Linked DNA regions of Styela clava. The protein of the gene in region 2 purifies or fractionates together with the protein of the main gene of each other region. This does not show direct contact. Links are inferred from orthologs where the notes say so. Each region holds a gene or a part of one and is shown on either strand. Other genes may lie near its edges. The genes, in order: intraflagellar transport protein 27 homolog, clusterin-associated protein 1-like and intraflagellar transport protein 46 homolog.

Region 1 (3,545 bases), on a different chromosome or scaffold from region 2:
AAAATTCAAAGGAAAATCAAACAGTGACACTCTGGTACTCCCGAAGTATGTGTACCAGGTTTGGGTTCGGCCATAATTTTGTTCAGATTTTCCTTATTTTAGTTCTATTACGAGTTCGGGTACTATCTGTGTTAGACAAGTGAATAAACCCCCTATAGGTTTCAGTCTCTTTACACAACTTGAGGCAAAGTAGGCGAACAAAATCACGGTAGTTACCGCAATATTGGAACACACACTTCTGCAGCGCCAAAACTCTTACCCAAACAGGAAGGCAATCTGCAACAAACTCTTTATATGAATTTGAGCAAATGGATTCCTTATTTCCTGCAGACGAATTGTCTTCCAAACATTTGAAATATTTATCCCAGGAATTCCAGCATTTCCCCCGCTACTCAGCTGTTGGTGTAGGTCTGCCCATTGGGTATTTATCCTATATTATGTTTAATCCAGTTTTGATGTCTTAGACTTGAATGGCAAAATTTTAGCTATTACTACACTATTATAAATCTTTTATCTAAAAATATACATAAAAAATTATACAGTGAAATTCACACAATAATAAATTTACCAAAATACAGCACTACATAAAAATAAAGTACCGGTACCGTACTAGTATTTTTGTCCCACCACTAAGTTTCTGATCTGTTATTATGTTGTTGTTAGTATTTTTCTAGTTGTTTCGGAAAAATGGCTTTTCTCATTAACTACTTATACTCGAGTTACAAGTCATCAGTCAGTCATTCAAGTCTGAAGTTGGGTCAATAACTCAGCCCACTGACAGAAAATCGAGCCCAAGACATATCAATTATACGTCTTGAGTCACTTTTATGAACAGTGACTCTAATCCAACTCGAGTCAGGGCAATAACCCAGCACTGGCCAGAGAGAGCCGAATTTCATCCCCACAATTTCTAACTTATATTAACCTAACCTAAGATAAACAGAATTTGAGAAAAATAGAAATTTAGTGGTGGGACAACAGTATAGCACCTAATATTCTAACACAAAACAATACAAAGATTCCATAAAAATCCACAAATTATTTAGAAAAGACGAAAACAAAATTAGAACCTTCAAATATGAATTTGTACATGTAAAAAACAGCCAGATGTAGCCAATTATCCACCTAAGCTGCATAAATGATTAATACAAATATGAAAGTAAAATTATATACTGAGAAGGGTCATGTCCTACAGAGAACTTATTGAAGTTACAGTTTGATTTGGGAATGCAGGAGAGTTATGATGAATAATAGTTTGACCATCTCTTCTTTTTTACAGTTTTTCAAACATTGAAATGAGGGTATTTTGGTCAAGCATATTTTATAACTTAAACTTTTCAAAATTATTCCTAAATTCTATAATGCAATATAATAAATTGAGAGTTGACATTTATAGACAACTCCAACTAATCCAATTTTATTTCGGGGAAAGAATTTTACCAAAATGAATGTATTTTTCAGTTTAGTCCAACTCGACTTCATATTATTACGAATATAGTACTATATTATTATGCGCTTTATCAACAATACCAGTATTCCTTTAGGCAGGTATGCTTTGTTAATTCTAACCCAGAAAATAATAAAACAAAGAACCATAACAGTAAGAGCTTATTTTTTGTCATAAACGGTCAGAATAAAATAGTCTGAATGAGAATGGAGCTAGTGCTGTCTAGTTCCGGTTCATTGAACGTTTCGTATCAAAGTTGACACTATTAGTACTATTTACAAGTAATAGATATAAACAGTTATTCTAGCATTTGTACATTTTCTCGAGAGTCTTGATGATGGTCTGCAAACTTTTGAGCAAGATATTGAAAAGGTGCTTCAATTCCTTCATTGCCTTTTGCAGAAACTTCAAAGTACGTCATTCCCAATTGTTCGGCAAGTTCTTCACCTTCCTCTGTTGTCACCTGCCGCCTTAGGTCCAAATCCACTTTGTTACCGATGAGAACGCTCGGAATATTTTTTTCCGGGTTGATATGTTCTTTCATTTTATTCCGCCAGTTTTTCACACGGTTAAGCGACTCGATGTCCGTAACATCAAAAACAACAGCAAGCATTCCAATATCGTCCCAATGTTTTTCACAGATTTCAGAAAAAACATCTTTTCCAGCTGAATCGAACATAAAAATATCGACAAAATCACCACGTTCTCGAACAGGAATGACTTTTTGACAAACCTCGACTCCCGTAGTCATCGTGTAGTTTTTTGGAAACATCGTCCCATCGCTGTGAAAAACTTGTGTAATCGCACTTTTCCCGACAGTACAGTCACCAACAATGACACATTTTGCTCGTAGAACTCCCATTTTATTTTTTCCGTGGAAATTTTCAATCACCAATAGGTTTGATATTATTAGACACTAACTATATTACACAATATTAATTAAAATACTATTGTAATAATGCAAATGAAAAATATTTCAGTGCTGTGCATTTGAAAGACTGTGTGGGTCAATGCAGTAGGTATGTGGAGAGAATTAGTATGTGACGATAATAAGGCAATTAAATTACATTACTGGTATACCTAACAATGCTTTGCTTCTGTTTGTGAATGTATCTTTAATTTTCACATGGTGATGAATAAATTATACTAATTATGCTTACTTACAGTTATATATTTCAGATGCATGACGTAGCGTAGCATAAAATTTTTTTGACACAACCCCCACCTGACTATGCCATCCAAAAATTATGTCACTAAGACATAACAATCACGTCATAGAGCTTGTCAATTTCATGCACGATCGCCCGGAATGGCATTGATGCCGACGATAAAGAACTGACTAACGTCTGTGATCTCTCTCCTATCGGGATCGTTGCAAGAAGAAAACGAGAGAAATAGCTGTTTGAATGGCTTAGTCAGGTAGGGGTGACCGGTAAGAACTGACATGTCCATTCGGATCTGACCACCGTGGGGTGCGGACGTGTTGAACGATGGGATACTCTTTGATCTGGAACTCTGATCGCAAATCTATGTGGTACCGGCAATATTATTTAGAAGGAAACCTGGTATATGGAATGGACACAGGAAAAGATTTTATTCAATGTTCTTGATAAAAAAAGAATGGAATTCATATCGGAGCTACGTGTAAGGGCGACGTCTACAGACTTATCTGGGAATGTGATATCCTTAAAAGAAGCTTACGGTAATCATAAAGAAATAAAAGTTATCGAAGATCAGACAATATTCACAACTGGATTTTCAAGCGTTTGACAAAAAGAGATGTTAGTTAAGGATATTAGCCGACATGTCTGCATACTGAAATTTTGATTCGGTAAAACTGGTTAAAAAGAGGTAATTTAATGACTGACCATCATAGGCAAATGCTCGAGATTATGAATTTTTAAATGAAAACTTTGTGAAATTTAACCATTTCCTTAAAGTTTTAAACAAAAAGCAATGCCCGAAACTAGTTTTAGAGTTTTTAAATTTGTTTGTTTACTTTTTAGCTTTGTTTGTTTACAAAGAATATAAAAAACAGTAGCTAACACTAATCACTTAGATGTGATTTTTAGGATTTGCATTTCGGCACATGCACCGG
Region 2 (3,760 bases):
TACTTTTGGCCACTTTTAACTACATAATTGTCATAATTATCTTCTGCTTTTTAAATTCAGGAGAGCAATGCTTTAATAATAAATTTACATGTCATATCATAACATGGCTAATGCCAGCTAAATTTGAGCGATCAAACGTTAAAGCTGTACTAATTATCACATTAAAGCGTCGTGCCCATGAATTATAAAATTATAAAAATTTCGGATACATAGTGAGTCTTCTTACAATTCAAAAGATAATTGAACAAAAAAACTATAGAAGTACTATCTTTTAAAACTGAACCAGATTGGTCCATTAGTTGCAGATAATAGCTATTTTTTCACAACAGCAACAGCCCTAAAAACCCCAACAGCGACAATTATTAAAAACGAAGCATAGGTACTGAGTGCACTTGTGTCCAAATAAAGCTATAAAGACTTTTAAATAGAGATTCCGGTATTGTGCAAAAATGGTGGGAATTTCTTGACAATGAGTTTTTTTCCTATTACTGTTACGTAAAAAAATTACAACACAAAATTACACAACTACATCAGACATAGAGAGTTTAAACAAAAGTTATTCGAAAGACCATATATTGAGCACTTCACCAGTGTAATATATATATATATACATGGAACAAATATTACCACTGAGTGAAACTAGCAGAGTTTGATATAAGTGACAATCTAAAAATTTCCAAAAAAAATCATGACAAAAAGGTTGATTAATACACTTCTGTTTTTTTTCTCTTTACGAAAGTAGATCAAGCATTCAATGCTGATAAGAGTACGTGAAAGAATTGTAGTGGGAGGCTTAAAATTCCCCATCGTCATCATCAATAACATCATGATGACGTCTTGGGTCGCCACCTGCACCAATCGCTCTTTCTCCTGCCATGTCATCAAGGAAGTCATCACTATCGTCTCCTGTAAGATCCTCATTATCATCGACAACACTCAGATTGCTGCTTGACAAGGTTTCTTCATCATCGTCATCATCACTCCCTTCATCACCATACATATTATTTCTTGGACCCACACCAGCAGGTGGTCTGCTTGGTCGGCTTGTTTGATGGTATGCTGGACGTTCTCCTTCCATACTATCCTCCAAATCGCTTCCTCCCTCATCCTAAGATATTGAATACATTGTTAGAACAAAACATGTCTATTGATACTGAATTGAACAAACTTGTTTAGAAATTTCCATGTTGAATAAATGGCTAAAACAGACTACTGTACAGTTTGAGCATCAAGTTTTTCTTTATAAATGCTGTTAAATTAGAAGATCAAAATGCCAAATGGAATTCAGCTTGCAAATTAGTTTTCCTTTGTGTTAAAACCCACTAGGGATGTTGAAATTATGTATATATACATTTCTAGTACACAATATGAATATTGTGTATTATTGAATTGATTAGTGTATTTATTAATAACTAGATATTATGTTAACAGTCTTTAACTCTATATAACATTTCACCCAGTACACCACCAACATTTTTGTTGCTGTTTTCTTTTAGAATTACATATCACAAATCATATACATCTGATCCGAAACTTCATACATACCATATCTTGCTCCATTTGATCCATTGCAACTGTGCTCAAGATTGTTCTTTTTTCTTCTTCTCTCAAACGATCTTGCATTTTTTTCATTGTTGATTCAGTTTCTTCCATTCTCATTTGTTCTTGTCCCTTCAAGTCTTCCAACTGCTGTTCAAGATGAGTCATATTCCGGAATTTATATAAGTAAGATTCATATTGTATTTTGAGATCTTCTTCTAGTTGCTCGAACTCATCCATAAATGCAGGTCGCACACTTTCCAGTGTTTTAAGTCTCTTTTGCGATCTTTCAAGTTCGGTTTTTCGTTTTGCAATCTTGGCTTCTAGGTTAACTTCATCAGAAGCAATATTGTCAAGCATGTGTAATGTTTTTTGTACTTCTTTCTCAACCGATTGAATACTAATACGCAGCCCTTTTTCAATTTCATTTATTTCCAAAGGCTGAGCTAAAGCTGTCAATCTGGCTTCTCGCAAGTCAATTTCTTTGCCCAAAAGGTCATACAAAAGAGCACCTCTTTCAGTAATTTCCGTTGAGAGTTTTCGTACAGCTTTTAAGTCTTGTATTTTTGAATCAATGTCGAAAGACAGAGATGATGCGTCTCCAGAATCGTTTTCTTTTCCATCAGATGAATGTGTCGATTTCATTGCACTGTATAAAACGCTAGCTATCTTTACAAGTTCTTTCACAGCATACCCATCAGCCATGTAAAGCCTTTTTGTGTTCAGTTTAATATGAGCTTTCGTAGCAACAAATTGTGAGGAAGATTTGATGAATATAACTCTGTCTTGTTCAGTATCAGTGTCTGTGGGTAGAGTAACATTTGGATCATACCTTTGTACAAGCCATAGTAAGATTTCGGCTACTAGAGGGAAATTTGGCGTTCTAAAATTTTCGATTGAAATCATTCTTGGGTATCCAAGAGCCCTCATCATTTCAGTGAAGTTTCGTAGATCACGATAAGACATATTTCTGATGTTTGCACCTTTCCTAAAAAGTTCTAGATTATGATTTACACTGCAAAAACAATTTAACATTGTGTCATATAAAAACAAAGTTAAGATAAATCAAGACAAATTGGAAATGAAGTTACCATCTTATGCTCACTGGATAAAGGATGAAGGAGGCAGGTGTGATAGATAAAAAATATCTGAAGCATTCTCACTGTAAACTCCAAAACAGGTTGCTTACACCTCCAAAGATACATAAAGAAAATTACCCAAGTCTGCAAGTCGTCCTATAACTGTAAAATATCACAACAAGTGGCACAGAACAGAGAAACTTTAGGCATATAGACTATGAACTATATGCTGACTCTCCTCATCATGCAGTCATGTGTAAGCGAGTTATACCGTACGGTACGGTACTGTCATGTGTTCGAGACAGCATGGACTGACAGACTGATGGATGCGTGGAGGTTTTGTTTGACATCCTCTGATCCTGATTCCAGGATTCTATAATATGATAATCATTTATCTCCCTCTACCTGTATTTATTTGTAGATCAGTATAGTACGGTAAGTTACTGTACAGCCGTATGCCTGTATGTAGTCTACTGATGTGCAGATGTACGGTACCAGTACCGATGTGAGATGTCTAGGCTACCTAACTGGGCCCTACTAAAAAGGTAGGTATCATAGGTATCACTCACTAAAAAGGTAGGTATCATAGGTATCACTCACTAAAAAGGTAGGTATCAGTAGTAGATGACTAAAAAGGTAGGTATCAGTAGTAGATGACTAAAAGGTAGGTATCAGTAGTAAATAACTAAAAAGGTAGGTATCAGTAGTAAATGACTAAAAAGGTAGGTATCAGTAGTAAATGACTAAAAAGGTAGGTATCAGTAACAGGTTAGGGTTAGGCGATAATTTTTTTCCAATTTTCCTTATTTTAGTCCTATTATCAGTTCGAAGACTAGCCAAGGGCCTCCCGTAGTATTTATACCTAAAATTATGGCCTAACCCTAACCTAGTACACATATTACATTCCGATGTCCGCCATCTCGGTTCGCATACTTCGGGAGCCCCCTTTTTTAGTCATCTACTACTGATACCTACCGGTACCTTTTTAGTTATTTACTACTGATACCTACCTTTTTAGTCATCTACTACTGATACCTACCTTTTTAGTCATTTATTACTGATACCTATCTTTTTATGGAGTGATACCTATGATACCTGTGATACCTACCGTACCTTTTTAGTAGGGTCCACCTAATTGACTT
Region 3 (3,760 bases), on a different chromosome or scaffold from region 2:
GACATTAATCCACGTACCGCCGTACACATAACAGCGGGCCTATCCCAAACATATTCATAACCTGCACAGTACCAAAGTGACAAGGGCACACGTGTGATTTTGAGAGATTGTTAATACGAGAGTTCATTAGAGCGTATAAGTATTTTCAACAGCTACATTTAAGTAGTGATACGCATTGCTTAATCTCGTCCATCTCCAAGACACCACTGCGAAGCTATTGTCGCTCTACAGATATTGTAAATGCTTTGAATCTGTAAACTCAGAAACTAGTAAACGACAAAAATAATGTTAGTGGAAAGGGTTTATGAATGTAAATGTTTCGCGATCAACCCATTTCTTTGTTTATCACGCAACAATGGTGACGTAACAATCAAAAATTCATCACTTCCCGGACTCTTGCTTTAACATCAGAACATCGAAGTCTCGATTTAAACAACTTTTTGTGAGCGTCGACTCGATTTCGCAGTTTTATTTGTCGGTTTTTAAGTGTAGACTATACGGTATACGCTATGGTCATCGTTTATTCGTCTAGTCGTGGGAGAGCGTTGATAAGTGATTGCTGCTGGGTTGTAGCTGATTATAATTTTAGTGCGATAAACAATAATCTTTTGCCAGTTGTAGACCTATGGTATTACATTTATCAAAATCAGGGTTTCTATTAAATTTATATTAACCAAAGTCGTCAAATTGAATCCAGATAATAAAATCCTTGTAAATTCATGTGTTTGTAGTGAAATAGGTATCGAGCTAAATTAAGGGATGAATGTTTTGGTACCTAAACGGCTAAATGAAACCGTGAATTTCACTGCCCAAGTTTTTTATTTTAAAATATAAGGCTAGGCTATAGTCCGATTTGGTGTTTAATGAAATTTGTAACACCCTGGTGTTCTATATTGCATTCACTAATAAATTTAAAAGTCAAAAGTACAAGTTTTCTGCACTGCTCAATACCTTAAACTATTGTCTGAACAAACACTTTCAGCAGTCTTGATTCATTTATTTGTTCGTAACATGGTACATGGCTTCAAATGACGAAAACACTAAACTAGTTGTTAATCAGCATTACGACGAAAGCTTGGATGTGAACGATTCTGAAGAAATTGCCAGTTTATATAGCCCTAGCCCAAGAAAGACTCCAACACCGCTTCTGCAACCGGGACCTGAGAAGCCAAAATATAATAAGATGTCATCACAAGATGATGATGATCAAATATCAAATGAATTTGGAGATAACGATGCCACTGATGGTTCTCCTGGTGATGTTGCTGATCCCCAAGCTCAAGCAAGGTCTGGGACATCAACAATGAGCGAAGGAGATTCTTCAGAGGACAGCGACTCGTCTTCTGGTGATGAAGAAAATGGAACAGCCCTAGAAGGTGCTTATGATCCTGCAGATTATGAAGGTTTGAATGTAAGCGTGGAGATAAAAGATTTGTTCCAATACATTACTCGATACACACCTCAAACTATTGAGCTTGAGCACAAATTAAAACCATTTATACCTGAATACATTCCTGCGGTCGGTGACATTGATGCATTCATAAAAGTATCAAAACCTGACAATTCATCCAGTTTACTTGGACTCACTGTATTAGATGAACCATGTGCAAAGCAATCAGACCCTACGGTTCTTGATCTGCAGTTGAGGAGTATCTCAAAAATGTCTGGTATAAAGGCAATGCAAGTTCGTAGTCTCAAAGATGCTCAAACCAATCCCAAATCTGTGGAATCCTGGATTGAAAGTATAGAAGATTTACGTAGGACAAAGCTTCCACAAAATGTACACTACACAAAAAGCATGCCAGATATTGAACAACTCATGCAGGAATGGCCTCCTGAATTTGAAGCTCTTCTTTCTAAGGTTCGACTACCATCTGCAGATCTTGATTGTGATTTACAAAAATATATTGACATGATATGCGCCGTGTTAGATATTCCCATATATCCAGGCAATAAAGTGCAATCACTTCACGTTTTATTCAGCCTCTACATGGAGTTCAAGAATTCCCAGCACTTTCAAACTGCTAGTCCCAATGAACATCATGATGTGAACGAGCCAGATGTAATGACTTTTGATTAATGTCATATAATACTGCATCAGGTGCTCCTTTTTTCATTTGCAGCTTATGGAAACAGTTACTGTGACACATTCATTCAAATTTGTCCCATTGAACTGCGCTAGTAACTTAGTCATGATTTATAGTATATTTTTGTATCGAATGTTTCTAAGTGTATATATGTTTTAGATAGTGTTCATCACTGTTATGTATGATCTCTCACTTCAGACTTTCATAATAATTCAATATAACTGTTACCACTCTCTCTCCAGGGATGGCCATAACTAAATACTTTGCTATTTCGAATACATTCTAAAGTTCCCCTCATATTTTATTCACTTTTCTGATAATAATATCATTGTAAAGCAGCACAAATGGAATGTGTGATAGTATTGAAATTAGTGGTTTTCTTGCTTCTAAGAAAAAAAGACATGATAAACATACAGTATTCACACCTGTGAATGGTGGTGTATCTTGGTATTCACAGAAAAAAGTGCAACTATTCGTCTAGTGAAATGTTTTGAATTCTACAGAAAAATCAAAGTTAATAACAACACACACACTTTTGTTATAACTTCTGACTGTTTATCGTCAGCGTATGTGTTATTTATTCCACCAACATAGTTAAGCTAAATTCAGCCACAGTTATCCCTCTACACAAAAATTAATTGTTGTGCAAGCGTGATCTTTAAATTTTATTTTGCTCCACCATTCGTTGATTCAGAAAAACGCAAATGTTATTACGCAGTCATTGTCATAATTAAATGAGTGAACCCAATTTCCATCAGCTAATGACAAAAAATTAGGACTGAAAATCGTGTTTTATTTTTTAGTAAGCGCTGATTCAAATCTTTCATGTCAGTTGTTATGCTCCTAAATTAAAACCGCCTACTGAACAATATTATCATCAACGACAACGGGATAACGTAAAATCCCCGATACTAAATAATAGTTGAGAACTATTTTCTTCGCTGTAAATTGCAGCAATGTAAAAATTTCCTGTTATGTTCGGTCACTATCGAAAGTGAGTATGAAAACAATTAATTCCGACACAATTTGCTTTCGGATTTTTTGCTGTGGCCGCACAAAGTATCTCGACTAAGTTGAAATATACGATACTAATTGTAAAATATTTGAGACATTTTATAAGCCCTAATTTAAATCTATTTATTGGCACGTCACACAAGTCCGTCTTGATTACGATAAAAAGTAATTGTAAAATGTTTTCAATCAAATCGTTGGCGGTATGCTCGGACTGGGTCATCATGAACATCTTTATATAGACCTCTACCACTCTGGCCCACAAATAAATACTCAATTTGACAACTCTCTGATTTGTAAAATTTTCATGCTATTTTTCTAATACATGGCAAAAGAACTTAAGTTTTTAACTATACTTAATTCTCCCACCGGAAGGGTAAATGGTTAAGGATAGCCATTTGTGTACTTGTCATGCATCTGATTTTTGCACCACTTACCCAAAACATTAGGTGAAATTGCTCTATAATCAGGCTTATAATAAGTAGGACCGTCGCCATACATCTGATTTTTGCACTACTTCCCCAAAACATTAGGTGAAATTGCTCTCATAATCACACATTAAGTAGGACCGTCACCAACCTCTTGTGCTCTGATATCAATTGTAATAAAAGTGAGCGCCGCATCGCTAATTCTGCAAAGAGCAGACATACTCTCTTAGGAAC

What was found.
Region 1: the proteins of clusterin-associated protein 1-like (region 2) and intraflagellar transport protein 27 homolog purify together in Homo sapiens (affinity purification with mass spectrometry; 3 studies listed by BioGRID and IntAct, with this or other methods). This does not show direct contact. The link is inferred for Styela clava from reciprocal best matches to the Homo sapiens genes CLUAP1 and IFT27.
Region 3: the proteins of clusterin-associated protein 1-like (region 2) and intraflagellar transport protein 46 homolog purify together in Homo sapiens (affinity purification with mass spectrometry; 3 studies listed by BioGRID and IntAct, with this or other methods). This does not show direct contact. The link is inferred for Styela clava from reciprocal best matches to the Homo sapiens genes CLUAP1 and IFT46.

What each region holds. Positions count from the first base shown.
Region 1 is NC_135255.1:20,075,554-20,079,098, reverse strand, and holds intraflagellar transport protein 27 homolog, read right to left. Parts: upstream 2,419-3,545; 5' UTR 2,310-2,418; coding exon 1,746-2,309; 3' UTR 508-1,745; downstream 1-507. UniProt on the Homo sapiens protein: Small GTPase-like component of the intraflagellar transport (IFT) complex B that promotes the exit of the BBSome complex from cilia via its interaction with ARL6. Not involved in entry of the BBSome complex into cilium. Prevents aggregation of GTP-free ARL6.
Region 2 is NC_135250.1:18,041,711-18,045,470, forward strand, and holds the start of clusterin-associated protein 1-like, read right to left. Parts: upstream 2,574-3,760; 5' UTR 2,506-2,573; coding exon 1,546-2,505; intron 1,109-1,545; coding exon 794-1,108; 3' UTR 1-793. UniProt on the Homo sapiens protein: Required for cilia biogenesis. Appears to function within the multiple intraflagellar transport complex B (IFT-B). Key regulator of hedgehog signaling.
Region 3 is NC_135257.1:13,333,339-13,337,098, forward strand, and holds intraflagellar transport protein 46 homolog, read left to right. Parts: upstream 1-804; 5' UTR 805-1,018; coding exon 1,019-2,080; 3' UTR 2,081-3,436; downstream 3,437-3,760. UniProt on the Homo sapiens protein: Forms part of a complex involved in intraflagellar transport (IFT), the bi-directional movement of particles required for the assembly, maintenance and functioning of primary cilia. May play a role in chondrocyte maturation and skeletogenesis.